4 linked regions of the Tribolium castaneum genome follow. The protein of the gene in region 2 purifies or fractionates together with the protein of the main gene of each other region. This does not show direct contact. Links are inferred from orthologs where the notes say so. Each region holds a gene or a part of one and is shown on either strand. Other genes may lie near its edges.

Region 1 (4,078 bases), on a different chromosome or scaffold from region 2:
CAGGCAAGAAGTTCTCACTTAAAGTACGATGTAACTCTCTTTCACACTTAGCAGTCGATTTTTTAAATTTCTTGTTAAGTTGAAACCAATCGTCTTCAGTGAAACAAATAACCTGCCACACGGATTTCTTCTTATTATTCTTGGTTTTAAAGTCCTCTCTGTACAGTCTAGTACCGTAAAAATACCAGTAAGCAGATTCGTTACTGTCATAACCCAGGGGCTCAACCCTCAAGCTGTCTGCTTCTAAATTTTTCAGCTGGTCAAGCACATCATCAGCATCTAAACGAAAATCACAGAGTGCATGTAAAATGTCCACTTTTGTTCTCAAAGGTAACAATTGGAAATCAACGTCTGTGTTAAATGGGTTGTATTGATCATGTTCCTGACATTTCTGGCGAAAGAGACGTCTCAGGAACATCTGATAATTGAACGTTGAGATTTCATTGTTCGGCAAGCACCCACTGAGAAGCCTCACGATCAGTTCTTGAAGCCAAGAGGTTTCCTCCGTCCCATCAGTCAAGAGAGCCTCCTCCAAATCCTAGATCAAAGCAAAACGAATCAAAACCCGAACGCAGGAATTGTTTGCGTGGTTTTACCTCGATATCAAAATCCAAAAGGTTAAATGCTGTTCGAAACAATGAACAAAAATGTGCAATGCTTGGAACCTCCCACCATGATTGAATATCTGAAACAACGGCCAGAATTAGGGAAAACAGCACTTGAGAAGCCAAATCGGCGAATTTCCGTAAACACACCTAGGATGCTAATGAAAGTTGGAAACATAACCTATACGGTGATCAATACATGTAACGTTGTTAATTCACATTAATCTCGACGAAACTCCCCAAAAAGCCATGAATTAACGAATTTACGACTCGAACGGCGGATAACCAGCCACATTTAGCGCACTATAGGCCTTTGGGTGTCAAAAAGAATGCCATTTCTTCAACAAGCTTTGATAGGCTTCCCCCAAATCTGCGTACTAGTGCAACCTAGCGTCTATTTCTACGTCACTTAACGTCGTCACACTCGGCGTAATTTACCGCAAAATCACCGTAATTCCGCCAATTGCCCGATATTACACAATGTAAACATGCTCCTAACGCATCGCCGAAAATTCCTGACAACTGTCAGAGTCACTTTGAAAATTCGCCTTTTGAAAAACCGGAAGTTATTAGAATAGTGCTGCTTTTACCGCTTCTTATTGTATTTGACGTCGACCAATCACAGCGCAGCATTTTAAATAGGTGAAAGACCTTTGTTTTGTTTGACGCTTTTGACAGCAAATGGTGTGTTTTTTGACAATATATTTTCATAATGGGTTATGAAAGCTGTGTGTTTATATTTATTGAGATGTGTAATTGTAATCTCTGTGATACTAACACCGAATTTAAGTGATAAACTGCGTCGATTTGATGTTTTACTAGTGTAAGGATTCGTACTGCAAAATGTCTTCATCCAGAAACGATTTCCCTTTGGAAGCCCTCAATATACACGGGCCCACCTTCCTCAAACATGCCTTAACTAGTTGCACTGATCCGCTCAAAGCCATTGAAGAGTTTCAGGTACTTTTTGTCATGATTTTATCCATAGATTTGTAAATAAATTCGCTTTCTTATAGGTTACAAACGGGATACTTTTACCCTCATTACGCCCAATGCTTCCATTACTTGATCTACACGGGGTGAGAAGACTGGATTTTCACATGTCAGTTGTAGAGGTAAAGTATTCTCATTAAATATTAATCCCCTCATTAGTGGCAATGTCTGATGGGTTGGACTTTAAAGTTCACTAGAACTGGCATCAATATATTTGATTTTAAACAAACCATACACAGTAATAATGTTCAATAAGTTTCGTCAGTGAAGGGGAAGGCGTATACCTACCCAAAAATAACAAATAAAGAAAATTAAAACTAAACTATGTTACGGTCAATGTGTAAACTTGGCTAATTTGTACACTAGCTGGTTAGTTTGCAAACTAATAGAAAACCCAGTTTCAACTAAAATAGCTAGATAGTTTATAAACTATCCGATTTTTCTTAGTCATTTTTCTATTGTCTATGTATTTATTTTTTTAATAAAAACCACAGATTCAGTTGTTACGCCTGGCTCATATTTTTTAAGAAATCTTTACAAAACAGGGATTTTTCGAGGGATCATTATACCCCACTCTTTCCTAGTTTTCCTTATTTTTAGCATTAAAATCTGGCTCACATTTTAAAAAGGACATAAAAAATAGGGTATTTTTCATAAAAAATCGACGTTTTAATAGCTAAAGTGGGCTTAAAAACAAGTTATTTTTCCATTTTTGTGTTAAAACGACCTCAATGGGTTGATTTTCAAACTCAACAAATTTCAACGACTAAAACCTGAAAATAATCGTCTCATTTTCCTAAAAATTGATGTTTCAGGAAAATCTGAGTTAGAAAAAAGGGTAAAAGTCAAATTCAACGTTGTTTTTAATGTTTTCATAATAATAATTATGAAATTTAAATTAAATGTTGTTTTGAATGTGATTATTACTCGAGTACATCCCGAAAATCAGATGGTATTTAATGTATCATGGTTTTACTTAATAAGAATTATAAAACTGTTTATAATTGCTTTTATGGTGCAAACTGTATGAAAATGCGCTCAGGAGTTGGTCGATAATGTGACTCATTTTTGGTTGGTGTCTTGTTTCGTTCATTACTCCATAATTTACAACTGGATTTATTGATTTTCAATTAAAATGTATTAACACCGTATTTCCTTATTCAATTGTTGTGATTTTTTTCTGATTGCAGTAATTGTACTTTTTTTAAAAACATTTTATTGTTTTTGGCTTTAAACCGCATTGTTACGAACAAAAGTTTTGTAATAAAACGCAATGTTGGTTTACATTCTATTAGATACATAAATAAACGTGTAATCTCACAAAACCAACTTTGGTAGTAAAACGTCAAAACATAAAGTGTTTTATGTGCCCTCATTCAGGTCCAGCGAGATAAGTTTGCCATTCATGTAGACATAAATTCCATTAGTAAAAAATTCCCGAATAAAGTTCCCAACTCGCTGTATTTATTTCCCTTTAATGAAAAAATTACGATGTTGGTTCAGGAACTCCGAGAGAAACTAATCGCACACATCAATGAAATCGGCAAGCAAGAAGGACGCGAAAGGGACAGGAAGCTGAAAGATTTACTCGTAAAGAGTTTCCCTGTGGTCAAAGTGAAGGCTTTAAGGCCGATAGTGATGGCGATTTTGAAAAACACACCACAGATTGACGACAACTATTTGAAAATATTAGTTAGAGATCGGGAACTGTACAACGACACTGACACAGAAGTCAAACGGCAGATCTGGAAGGACAACCAGTCGCTCTTCGGAGATGAGGTCTCGCCTCTCTTGAGTCAGTACATCAGCGAAAAAGAGAACGTGCTGTTCGATCACACCAACATCAGCACCCAGTTCTTCGGGCCTTCCCCCAAGGTGCGGCGCCAAGGGGAAGTCGTCCAGAAGTTGGCACACATGATTGGAAACAGTGTTAAATTGTACGATATGGTGCTCCAGTTTCTTCGCACTTTGTTTTTGCGGACCCGAAACGTGCATTACTGCACTTTGAGGGCCGAATTATTAATGGCCTTACACGATTTGGAAGTTCAGGATATAATTTCGATAGATCCATGCCATAAATTTACGTGGTGCCTTGATGCCTGCATTAGGGAAAAAAATGTCGACATTAAACGCTCAAGGGAGTTGCAAGGGTTTTTGGATAACGTTAAGAGGGGCCAAGAGCAGGTGCTGGGCGATTTATCAATGACTTTATGCGACCCCTACGCCATTAATTTTTTGGCCACGTCGGCCATAAAAATCCTGCATCATCTCATATACGTAGAAGGGATGCCGAGGGTAAATAATGAGAATTTTCGAAACAAAATTATAATTTTTATACGAATATTTTAGGACAATACGATTTTAATTTTGCTCTTGCGAATGTTGGCTTTGGGTCTAAGTGCCTGGGTCATGATCGACTCCCAAGACTTCAAAGAGCCCAAACTGGACAGTCAGGTCGTTACGAAATTTTTGCCGGCCCT
Region 2 (4,007 bases):
TTGACATTTTAGTGAAATCTTAAAAAAAAAACATCTTCCTTATTATAAAAGATACACATTTAAAACAAAGACATTATACAGGCACTTTTTGCCAAAGAATTTAATAATGTTATCAGCAATTTTTTTTAATCATTCGTTTAGCTGTAATAACATAAAGTTGTATTTTTTTTAAATGAGAATCATAGTTGACTATGACATTTTTGAAAAGCTTATTTTTTTCTGATTTGATATGTCTATTTGTCTTATTGTTTTCTGAACTCAAAACAACATAAATATAGTGAGATATTTTTATATATTTTTGATAAAAAAAATTTAAATTTTTTAAAGTAGTTGGCCATGGAAAAATTATTTCACATAAAAGGTGTGAATAATCTAGAAAGTTTGTGAACGGTTTTTAAAGTAAAAAATGTGAAATTATCAAAATAAGCTATGTTAAAGTTATTTTCAATTGAATAAATATACGAGCGTCGCAGATTTTAATTACATAAAAAATGTACAGAAAATAGCAAACGATATGTCACTACCATTTGATGTCACTTTTTTATGATTTAGTAAAGTGCAATGGAGGTGACATTGATAATGTTGTATATTTTTTTACTGCAGGTGGAATTTGATTTTGGAGTTTGAATTGTCATTTTTTTGTAAAATAAAATTTTATTGATGCGCAATCATAAGATTTTTCTTCTTCCGTCATTGCATGTTTAAAATTTGAAAATATGTAGAAATACAACGTAAGCTTGCCATTTTATATAAAAACAAATAATTTTTATTAATTGCAAAAATTTGATCTAATAAAAATTTATTATGCTGTTTTTGAATTAATTAGGGTTTAAAAAATCATCAAATTATAATTACTGTTAGGTAATACAATTTTCATAGTTTTAATTACAAATCCAAAATTTTTTCATGGCCAACTATAAAGAAAAAGCGAAATGTTTTGTTTTTTCTTAATTATTTAAATTTAACGTATGACACAAATAGACATTAAATCAGAAAAAAATAAGCTTTTCGAAAATGTCATTGCCAACTATGATTCCTATTTAAAAAAAATATAACTTTATGTTATTACAGTTAAACGAATGGTTGAAAAAAATCGCTGATAACATTATTAGATTCTCTGAAAAAAAGTGCCTGTATAATGTATTTTTTTCAAATGTGTATCTTTTATAATAAGGAAGATATGATTTTTTTAAGATTTCGCTAAAATGTCAACTTCTGTTGAGATTTAAAATTATTTTCTCAAAAAACGAAGGCTGGTTTCCAGTGAGCAAAGGCGTTTATTAATCGGTGTTTCAATTTTCAATAGAATTTTTCGCTTTCGTAACACATTTGTTCATTAAAATGCGTTTTGTACTTTCTCATCATTTACATCACGTTATTTGATTACTCATCGAGCATAACACAAACTTGAAATTTAAACAGGACATTCAACTCAGTCTTCCCTTATTGATAAGAGAATCGATCAGTTGATAAAAATGAATTATCGTTTCTCGGTGAATTACCGGGAATTAAATTACATCTATAAAACTGTCCAAACTAATCCAACCTGTTATAAAACAATGTACAATCAAATGCAATAAAATTGTCCAAACATGGCAACTTGTCACATTTTTTCGATATCTATCAACTTCGACAAAAATGGTGAGGTGGATGAATCACCAGCCAAACGCAATGTTGGTACATTTCCGGCTTAATTAATATTTCACAAATGTTGAATGTAAAAGCCGGTGACATTTTTGACGCATTTTTTGTTAACTGTTGACAAAGTAAAAAAACTAATTTCGTCGTTGCAATAATTTAAGTTCAAGGACTTGACGACATACGAAACTGTCAACAGTTTGTGTTTGTTTGTGATAACACCATCGACTTTGTTTACTTTCTATTTTGTAAAATTAAAAATTGAATAACTTTAGTTGCATTTAAATTTTAAAACAAGTAGGCCATTGTATCGACAATTTCACTCCTTCTGACTGTACTTATTAGTGATTTTTAAATGCCAACTGTGTAACGTAAAACGTAAAAAATTCACCGTTTGTATTAAAAATTGACGCGATGAAAAATTTAGGCAAGAACTCTCCCGTTTTTACGTCTCGCCGTTTCGTGAGCGAACAAATAATTCAATAAAATGTTTACCCCCCAAACCCCCTAAATTTCGCAGTCAAGTTACCCGCCCCCGACGTGCATCTTTTGTTGGTAATTTCGGTAAATCCTCATTCTTCTCTGCGATTATCGATTGGCATTCGCCGCCGCCGTCGCGCTGCCACCCCCGACCCCTGTGCAGGCCGCCCTCAAAAATCAATCCCGTTTTAAAAATGCAGCGTAAAATTCCGCCGCAAATGGGACAAGGTCGGGGGCAGAATCCGCCACCCCCATCACGTGACGCACGTGCAAAACCGGAAGTTACGCAATAGGCAGTGGGCCGGTGTCGCGAAAATTCTGACATTTGGCTTTTTTCCGGCGGGGGCTGCGGGGCCGGGCGCCGATCGATGAGTCACCCGCGCGGAATGCACACGGGGGCGCAGCCCCGCCGCCGCCCGGGCGCGGGGCACCCCCGCGGCGGAAAATGGAGGAGCGTCCCGAGATGATGGCCGTTTGGGCCGGGAGGAGGCCGAATCGGGGGGAAATATACGCACCATCGTAACGTTCGGCCTGTTCTGCCAATTTCGCCTTGTAGACGTTATCCTCCCGTTCAGACATTTTGCGATGATTATCGATAGAAATTTCACAACACTAAAAAACACAGACACTCAACGTACTGCCAATATGGCCGCGCCCGCCACACTAAACCCGAACGCGATCGGACGCACATCGGCTGCCTCCGGCCCACGTCACAATGGCGCCAAATTGAATAAATAATTATTTAATCCTGCTTATCTTTCACACACTGCATGCCACAATAATTAAATTATGCGTCCTAATGGACAGCATTCGATTGACAATAAGGGACTGTTTTTAGAAGCGTCGTTTCCAGATCAGGGGAATTGGACCAATCAGATGCTCAGATTTACGAACTAATGCCAGTTTAAATTTTAATCACTGATTAGAAGACGCTTTACGGCTACTTTGGTGTTAACTGAGTGTGTTTATACAGAAGTAGAGCAAAAATAACAATTTAGGCCACTTAAAAATACAGATAAAAAATTTATGCACAAATAGGGGATTTCCGAAACTAAAAGGTTTAGAGAAAAACAAGACACATTTTCCGGTCCGCTTTTTGAGAAAATAATTTTGGTCAAAACCGCATCTCGCTATAGTTTTTTGTTTTCGACTTATAAACAAAAGTTGATATTTTGGCCAAATGTTAAAAAATTTATATCTTCCTTATTATAAAATATAGACATTTGAAACAAAGACGTTATATGGCTTTTTTTTATAGAGAATTTAATTATGGTATCAGTGAATTTTTTTAATAAATCGTTTAGCTGTAATAACATAAAGTTGTATTTCTTTAAATAGAAATCATAGTTGGCTATGACATTTTCGAAAAGCTTATTTTTTTTTAAACTGAAAATAATATAAATACAGTTTGATATTTTTATATATTTTTGATAAAAAATATATTTAAAATATTTGAAAGCAGTTGGCCATGGAAAAATTATTTCACATAAAAGGTGTGAATAATCTAGAAATTTTGTGAACGGTTATTAAAGTAAAAAAATGTGAAATTATGAAAATAATCTATGTTTAAGTTATTTCCAATTGAACAAATAATACGATCGTTGCAGAATTTAATACATAAAAAAGCAAAAAAATTGAAAACAATGTGTCACTACCATTTGATGACTTAGTGAAGTGCAATGTAGTATTTTTTTACCGCAGATGAGATTTAATTTTGGTGTTTGGATTGAGATTTTTTTGTAAAATAAAATAATAATAAATAAATAAAATTTATTATATTATATATTGACAGGCAATCATACAATTAATAAGATTTTTTTTCCGACATTACTGTAAAGAAAAAGCGAAATCTTGTTATTTTTTAATATGTAAAAATAATGTGTTACACA
Region 3 (4,075 bases), on a different chromosome or scaffold from region 2:
TGTGACGAGGAGTCAAGGTTGGAAACTTCAAGGTTTCTCGAGCGTAATTTGCTAAAAAGCAACTGGAAGTTTTGTTGCTGGATGTGTTATGTAACGCCGAGAGTTGCAAAAGTGAGAATAAATGTTATTTTTTCGCAGAGATGATTTATTTGCTGATTAAATTTGTCTCATAGTTTCATCCGAGATTACAAAAGCGTTACATCACTGAAAGGATCTTTCTTGTTAAGTAACTGTGTTTAAATATCAGACACGTTGGTTATTCTGTAACCAAAAGTCTGGGCTTCTGCAAAAGTAAATTGAAAATGACTAAATATACGAGGATGAAAATTCTTCCTTATTTTCTTATAAGGGGAGAGAACACAACATCCTGACTGTCTTAACACCATATTCCAAAACTGTGTTGTTATAAAAAATAAATGGTTGAAATAAACTTGTGAAAGTATAAAAAAACAGAATTGTCGGTTTTTGAGTAAAAATTGTTGAAACATGCTCAGTCAGATCTCATTTCCGTTCCATCTGGAAACTTCCGGAAATTTATGAGTTTATATTTTTTCTGGAATTATTTTCGGACGAAAAACAGTGGAAATCTTCCCGTCTTCTAGGACTAAGCAAAATAAATAAATATCAGAAAATTTTGAACCGATTAAATTTGCTGACAAACAAATATTTTTGAAAAGACTTTGCACTTTATAGATTGGAAAATTCCAGTTTTTGGTTTCTGGTGTTTGAATTAATTTCTTGACGACTTTGTCCTGTCTCCACACATTTTCACTTTTTTTCTGCTTAGGTACTTTCATCGGAAGTACAATAAGTGTCATTCTAATAACTTATGGCATTTCTGGCGAAAGTAAACCGCTCATCATTGTTTAAATTCTCTCTGAGTTACGACCCCGACAATTTTATAAAATCGTTTGTTGATGGATTTGTGTGAATGAACTAGAGCACTATACTTAGTCAGCGATGTACACAAGATCCGCTATTCCTAAAACAAACTTTGATATATTGATAACAAAACCCCACATTCATTGAACTCCCAGCCAAGCAAAACGCCCGTTCCAAATTCGTCGAAACCGCGACAGTTTTATGCACTCGAAAATAGCGCAACCTTCCAGCGATCAATTCCATATTTTTATCCAATCCACGGGCAGCCAAGACATTGGCCGCACTTTTCTCAAAAGGTAAAACTAAAATTACCATCGTGCGTGCAATGAACGGTCAAACATTTGACAATTTAAATTGCTGCACTCACGTCTCTCCACTCCCGTTCGACTCGTTAGTCATCATCATCGGGGCTTCAGTCGGTGCTTTTGCTTTCAGTAGAGAGTTTCCTGCTGTTCGGAGCGCGCAAAGTCGGTACATGTGTAATTAGTGTCGAAAAATATGAAAAGCAAAAACAAAAGCGACGCCAAAGTGGCCAGCGAGCAGCTGATCCTGGCCGAAAAGCCGCCCCTTGACAAGAAAAAGCTGGCCGCCCTCGAGAAAGAGCGCCTCAAAGCCGAAAAGAAGCTGAAAAAAGGTGAGCTCCAAGGTCTGGAATAATAGCACGACGGTGACGTACCGCAACCTTGGATTGTCCAAATAATTCCATTTATTTTTGTGTACTGAAATATTTATTTGTGTCAAAGTTATAATACGCGCTATCAGTCGTGACGTCACCTCCCCACTCTTATTACGGTAGGTCAGTTGCTCAAAGCTAAACAACCAGTCTTTTACATGTGGTGTAATACGTTTTTCGGTTTTTTGGTTGTGTTTGTGCGTTAATAACGTGTCAAATAGCTGCAGCGGGTGTAATTTGTGCCACTAGAGACTTTAATTTAATTTAGAAGTGACTTTTTGTGAAAATACGAACTTTATAAAAGAATACAGGGAACCACGTTGTCGGTGAGAAAGTGAGTAAGCTTTAATTATACTTTGAGAAACTATTATATTTATGCATTTTAGTGGCAGAAAAGCACATTGTTAAGTTTCACTTTATTGCGAAATTTTTTGGGGACGGTAATCGCTTTTTAGTTCGGGGAGAAAATGCTTTTACCAGCGGTCACGTCACCAAATTTAGGTTTGATGGCACAGTACAACCGATGAGAATTTCTGCAGAAGTTCTACCGAGCATGAAAAAGCTAAATTATACTGTGGAGGTTTGTATTTATTTAACTGTTAGACATTTCTTCTACAAAGTGTGTTTTAGATTTCATATGACCTAGAAGAAGGGGTTAAGACGGCACATTGTACCTGCCCAAGGGGCAACGTGGCTTGCCATCATATGGCTGCAGCATTATATTATGCTCATTATAATGTAAGTGCTACTGACATTGAGTGTCAGTGGAGTGCCCCATCAAAAACAACACCACAAACAGAAGTCATTAAGTTAGCTGATGTTTACAAGCCGAAATTATCAAACTATACGGCACTGTCTAGGTCCTCTACTGAGGACGAAATTATTCAGTTCCGTGCCGAAATAGGCGTCACGAATGTGGTGGGCTTCACTTGGCTCCTAAGACCAGAAGCAAGTGAAGAAGCCAGAAAAATTATTGCAGATATCGAAGAAATTCTACAAAGCTTAGAATACGTGCAGGCCATAGACAAACAAAAGTTTCTTTTGGAGAAGTGCAGAATAGATGAGGCACGCATTAAACTGGTTGAGGCGTGCACTCGGGGCCAACATGTTAACGAAAATTGGCATGTAGCAAGGAAACATCGTTTAACGGCCAGCAGGTTTGGCATGGTACTATCTGCTTGCAGTAGACGAAGATTCCCACCCTCTTTATTTAAAAATTTGGCGGAAGGCTATTCGCTTGACAGGGTTGCTGCTGTGCAGTGGGGTAAGACCCACGAGAAGACAGCGCTCAGAGAATTTGAAGAAGCGACGAATCTTAAAGTCCAAGAGACGGGATTTTGGTAGGTCGAAAATAATTAACACGTATAACTTAGATGAATAATGTAATATTACTTTTTTTTGTAGGTTGGAAGAATCAGGCTTTTTGGGAGCAAGTCCTGATGGATTAGTGGAAGAAGATGGGATTCTCGAAATTAAATGCCCATATAAATATAGGGACACTGACAGTTTGTCTGAAGCCCTGAAGGATAAAAAATATTTTTATTGGAGGGATGAAAATGAGGACATTAATCTTAACAGCAATCACAATTATTACCACCAAGTACAGGGGCAAATGCACATCACTGGTCGAAGTATCTGCTACTTTGTCGTGTGGACACCAAAGTGCACAGAGATATTTCAAATTGAAAAAGATCCGGGGTGGTCAGAAAATATCAATATTTTAAAAGAATTTTATCTTGACCAATATATTTCCTTTATTTCACAATAATAAACTGTATATAAATAGATGGTTTTTATTTTACATTATTTTAATCATCACAATCCTGAAACAATTCTGCTACCTCTTTAATTAATGGAAATTGGAGGTTTGTTAAAGCGGCAGTCGCTTTAAAAACAATATCTCCATAGTGGCACAAAGACTCTGGCAAAAAATTTAAAATATGATAACATTTTAATCGGCGTATTGCCCTTTCGACGTGTATTCTTGCACGTGCAATATTTTCGGTACACTTAACTTGCTCTGGTGTAAATTGGACATTTGATAAAAAAGGTGGAATATTCAAAGTGACCCCTGGTGGCAGAATATTTTGGATCAAAAATCCCTTATCGGCTAAAATCATATCTCCAGTTTTTAACATGTCGATTATTCCACAATTTAAAACAACTTTTTGATCAGAAGTTGATCCCACGTATAAATCACTTACAAATGTGATGACACCATTGGGTGCAACTCCAATTAGCCCTTTGAAAGTATTATGATGTTTGTAAGTACTATATGTTAATTTCTGTGTTGACATAGACTTACGTGATACCACAGTGAAAATTTCGGTACAATCTAGAACTGCTCTACAATTAGTAAAATTGCTAAAACATGTTGGCAAGCAAGATTTATTTTTTTCGCGCGAAGGCATTGTCGTCATAAACTGTTTATATAAAATTTCATATATTACATGGACAAATGTTAAAATAATATTAGAAACTGTGCTTTGGGCAACCCCAAAGCGTTGCGCCAAATCAAGT
Region 4 (4,048 bases), on a different chromosome or scaffold from region 2:
TGTGTATTTATTATTTTTACTGTGCATTTACTATTTTTACTTTGCATCTATCATTTTTACTGTGCATTTATCATTGTTACTGTGCATTTATTATTTTTACTTTGCATCTATCATTTTTGCTGTGCATTTATTATTTTTACTGTGCATTTGTTATTTTTACTGATCAAAAATACTTATCGTTTAAATAAAATACTGTGCATTTAATTTGTACCGCTTATTAATCCGTAATTTGTTCAATCAAGGAAAAACAGTCAATTTTTTATTCGATATTGAATAATAAATAATTTCGTTTTTGTTCATTTTACTGACCTAATTCGTTCAGTTACTCATTTGTGATTTTAATTGTTTAGTAATTTTTTCTTAGAATAAAAATCCTTATTATTCAACCAAGATAAGAGCATATTTTGCGAAATCAGATGATACAGTACAATAAAATTCAAAATGATTCTTCCATGCTATGATTAAATTAAAAAAAAAATTCGTTTTATTCGTTTTCCTTTTGTAAGTTGTTCAAATGGAAGGCATTTCTCTGGTGACACCTTGATACGCTTTTGATACAACACCTATCAGTGGCGTTTTCTCCGTTTCAATTGTTTTCACCCATATTTATGGGTCATTGAAACGTTTCATTGTCGATTTTTTATCTCAAAAAACTGGAACGTGATTTACATTGCACAATAAATCCTCCGATTTGAATTGAAAATCCATTTTATCTCGTAAATGTGACGCAATTAGCCGCGAATGGAAAATGAGGTGTTTGAGATGGGCTTGGCTCTGATAATAATTCGTGTAATATTTAGAGAAACTCGACTTGAATTTTCAGCCACGCACACCTCATCACCAGTAATTTAGCGCAAATATTCCAACTTCCCTATTTGAATACCAAATAGCAGAGGAAGTGTGGAAAAAAGGCGAAATAGCTCAACAACAATGTGCAGGGAGTGGTAAAAGCCGGCATTATCCGACTCAGAAACGTGCAAACATATCTGTAATAACAAGAAATCATTCAAATAACGCCAGACGCATTGTATGCAAACCCAAATCCGAGAGATCCAGCGATCAAGCCCAATTGTTTAAGTTTAAATATTTACGCCGTGATTGCACAAATCCTCAGTAAATTTGCGGTAGGCATAGTTACGATCTTATCAATATTTGCTTATCATTGACGTCCTTGTCCACAATGACGCTCCACCTGCTGCGAATTTTCCAACTTTCATCCCAATGGTAATTAACCTCAGGTAACTTTTGGTTACTTGGAAAGGGAAATTCGTGAGCCCCACCAGTGCAGTCGTTGGTTTGAGCGAGCGCTCGTAGTAGTAAACCTGAAACGCTCAGGTGTGCGGTTGTTTACGTTATTCTAATACACAGTGTTGCAATAAAATAGTGTGGTGTCCTCGGGGGTAAATAGTTGTTTACACCGTTTGATAACAAGGCAGTTTATTGAAGTTTTCAACTGTTACCTAACAATTTTGTAATTGAGTCCAGTTATTTGCTCGTGTGGCTGAGCATTATGAATTTAAGATTTGCTTAATTGCTTTTAAATTAATCGTTGGTTAATTAGTGTTGCAATTTTTGCGAATTGGGGGCCAGTAAAATGAGGAAGTTTAATTTAATTATCACAGAAATCAATCACAGTGACAGTTTACAAACACAAACATTTTTGACTAAAGGTGGTTGTGCTAAATGCGTCTTTTTACGGAGAGAAATCGTCGAGAACAATAAAGCGATTCCCAGGATTGCTTTCAAAAATTGCGATCAAACGGCAACATTATTTTTAAATAGCTGAGGTAGAAACAAATTAAATGCGCGGATAAGATCGGAAAAATCCGCTCCATAATAAGGAAGTGCATTCTGCGGAATGATTGATAATCTCTAATCACACCTAACTGTCCGTTCTTTTATTTCATTTTTATTCAGCGCACATTTTTTCATAATCCCTTTGACCGGATACATGCCATCGTGCATTCGCTGTGATTCGATCCGACAACGGAAAAGCGGTTGACATTTCACGTATTAACACTTAATAACGGAAAAAATCCGCCTAATTGTAGCAATAACGAAACAATAGCGTAATTGCGATAGTCGCGGCATTGTTATGAAATATTTTTGATTGTTGATGAAAGTGGAGAAATTCAAATAAGCACATCTAGAAAGTAATACACGGCTTTAATGGCTTAAGTGTCAAATGGTTCATGTATTTCCAGCAATAAGTGAAGTAGAAATGTAGAAACGCTCGACTTGTCGCTTGAAATTGAAGACGTTTCCAAAGATTTTGCAATTGAATTCCACAGAAGAGATCGGTTTGACCTTTCCGATAATTATTTGATTTTTATTTGTGGTCGAATTGTTTGTTTTGCCGGTTTCACAGTCCCACAGTCTTTAAAAAAGCGTGGCGTTTTCAATTGTACTCCATTTCCTTTGGAACTATGAAAATTCTTCAGTAATTAAGAGTTACATAAGTGCCCAGAACCGTGTCTTTCATTCTCTCATCCGCACCAATGAAAATATGATAATTGAGGGGAGATAAGCGCCTTTTCATCATCTCATTACGATTTTAACGTCCTTCAGTTTTTGCGTCTTCATTTTATTTATCACTTTTTTTAGTCAACTTTTTAAATCTAAATGTTCGATTTAGATTAAAATTGTAAGCTTAGATCGGACACTTATTTTGGAGCGTTTTTAAAGTTAATAACTTTTCGGTCATTTTTTACAAATTCTTACCACAACTGTTACTTACAGAATGGATTATTTAAATTTTAGTTAACTCCACAGGGTGGTTTCAATAATATGTGTTTGTAATATCTTATACTGATGCCTTAAGTTGGTCAGCCCCGTAGTTTTATAAGAATCACCAAGATAATGAGCACAATAATATACAGACTGAACCAAAAGTAACACACAAAAATTCATATTTTTGTTATGAGTCATTTTTCAAAAAATCTTCGAGTAGGTCGATTTCCTTTTTTTACACATTGACATTTCTGACGTCATTCGTTTTTCATTTTTTTAAATGGCAGTTGATATTTTTGATTTGTGATTTAGATAGTACACATTTTTATTTTTCTGGTAAGTACAATGTGTTTTTAAATGATTCTCATCTAGTCGTCTGTGAATTTCCGTTGTAAAATCAGAAATGCCGCTATAAAGAATTAATGACATTTAGACACCGAATATTACCATTCTCCATTTATTAAGTCATTAAGTATTAAGTCAGTGTAACAATTTAGTTGCATTTTAACGAATTTTTTAAAAGTAATTAATTGCCAATTTGTTAATTTCACAACTGACAGTTTTGACATTTATTGACAGAGAATTCAATTGAGAAGAGCGTCGCAATTTTCTTTACGTGTAAACCATTTTCAAAGTTAACTAGATAACAATCATTTAAAAACACATTGTATAACAAAGTTCAAAAAAATAAATAAAAAAAATAAAAAAAGAAGAAAATCAAATAAAAAAGTTATGACAGTTATTATAATATCAAACAAAATCTTTTCGTTCTTGTTTTATTTTGTAAGGTGTTATTGCGTTTTGTTTATTTTTTATGTTTAGGTGTCACATTAAGTGTTCTTATGCTAATTATACAAAAAAAATTCAAAACACATTGTAAAACGAAGGTCAAAAAAAAGAAAATCAGTTGTTGAGAGTATAGCACAAAGAGCTTTTTTATCTTTTCGTTCTTGTTTTATTTTGTAAGGTGTTATTGTGTTTTGTTTATTTTTTGTGTTTAGGTGTCATATTAAGTGTTCTTATGCTAATTATACAAAAGGAAATTTAAAAACACATTGTATAACAAAGTTAAAACTATAAATAAAAAAAATCAAAAAAGAAGAAAATCAAATAAAAAAGTTCTAAAACTTGTTGGTAGTATCCCATAAAGAGCTTTGTCTTTTCGTTCTTATTTTATTTTATAAGGTGTTATTGTATTTATTTATTTTTTGTGTTTAGGTGTCATATTAAGTGTTCTTATGCTAATTATACAAAAGAAGTTTTTAAAAAAATAAATGCCGCATATAAAATAAGTCAGGAACAAAATATAAAGCCCATT

The links. The genes of interacting proteins can lie anywhere in the genome.
Region 1: the proteins of 14-3-3epsilon (region 2) and NELF-B purify together in Homo sapiens (affinity purification with mass spectrometry; 3 studies listed by BioGRID and IntAct, with this or other methods). This does not show direct contact. The link is inferred for Tribolium castaneum from reciprocal best matches to the Homo sapiens genes YWHAE and NELFB.
Region 3: the proteins of 14-3-3epsilon (region 2) and Unc-115a purify together in Homo sapiens (affinity purification with mass spectrometry; 3 studies listed by BioGRID and IntAct, with this or other methods). This does not show direct contact. The link is inferred for Tribolium castaneum from reciprocal best matches to the Homo sapiens genes YWHAE and ABLIM1.
Region 4: the proteins of 14-3-3epsilon (region 2) and partitioning defective 3 homolog B purify together in Homo sapiens (affinity purification with mass spectrometry; 3 studies listed by BioGRID and IntAct, with this or other methods). This does not show direct contact. The link is inferred for Tribolium castaneum from reciprocal best matches to the Homo sapiens genes YWHAE and PARD3.

What each region holds. Positions count from the first base shown.
Region 1 is NC_087394.1:30,669,130-30,673,207, reverse strand, and holds the start of NELF-B (negative elongation factor B), read left to right. Parts: upstream 1-1,278; 5' UTR 1,279-1,448; coding exon 1,449-1,565; intron 1,566-1,621; coding exon 1,622-1,720; intron 1,721-3,101; coding exon 3,102-3,893; intron 3,894-3,907; exon of another isoform or gene 3,908-3,947; coding exon 3,948-4,078. Other genes in the region: uncharacterized protein dikar, read right to left, coding at 1-538, 597-685, 756-783. UniProt on the Homo sapiens protein: Essential component of the NELF complex, a complex that negatively regulates the elongation of transcription by RNA polymerase II.
Region 2 is NC_087401.1:11,229,210-11,233,216, forward strand, and holds the start of 14-3-3epsilon (14-3-3 protein epsilon), read right to left. Parts: upstream 2,801-4,007; 5' UTR 2,698-2,800; coding exon 2,634-2,697; intron 1-2,633. UniProt on the Homo sapiens protein: Adapter protein implicated in the regulation of a large spectrum of both general and specialized signaling pathways. Binds to a large number of partners, usually by recognition of a phosphoserine or phosphothreonine motif.
Region 3 is NC_087395.1:21,870,625-21,874,699, forward strand, and holds the start of Unc-115a (actin-binding LIM protein 3), read left to right. Parts: upstream 1-1,275; 5' UTR 1,276-1,380; coding exon 1,381-1,516; intron 1,517-1,625; exon of another isoform or gene 1,626-1,888; coding exon of another isoform or gene 1,889-1,889; intron 1,890-1,941; coding exon of another isoform or gene 1,942-2,135; intron 2,136-2,185; coding exon of another isoform or gene 2,186-2,895; intron 2,896-2,959; coding exon of another isoform or gene 2,960-3,323; exon of another isoform or gene 3,324-3,363; coding exon of another isoform or gene 3,364-3,797; exon of another isoform or gene 3,798-3,860; coding exon of another isoform or gene 3,861-4,075. Other genes in the region: uncharacterized protein LOC135265312, read left to right, coding at 1,889-1,889, 1,942-2,135, 2,186-2,895, 2,960-3,323; uncharacterized protein LOC135265271, read right to left, coding at 3,364-3,797, 3,861-4,075. UniProt on the Homo sapiens protein: May act as scaffold protein. May play a role in the development of the retina. Has been suggested to play a role in axon guidance.
Region 4 is NC_087395.1:16,345,604-16,349,651, reverse strand, and holds the start of partitioning defective 3 homolog B, read left to right. Parts: upstream 1-1,248; 5' UTR 1,249-1,400; intron 1,401-4,048. UniProt on the Homo sapiens protein: Adapter protein involved in asymmetrical cell division and cell polarization processes. Seems to play a central role in the formation of epithelial tight junctions. Targets the phosphatase PTEN to cell junctions.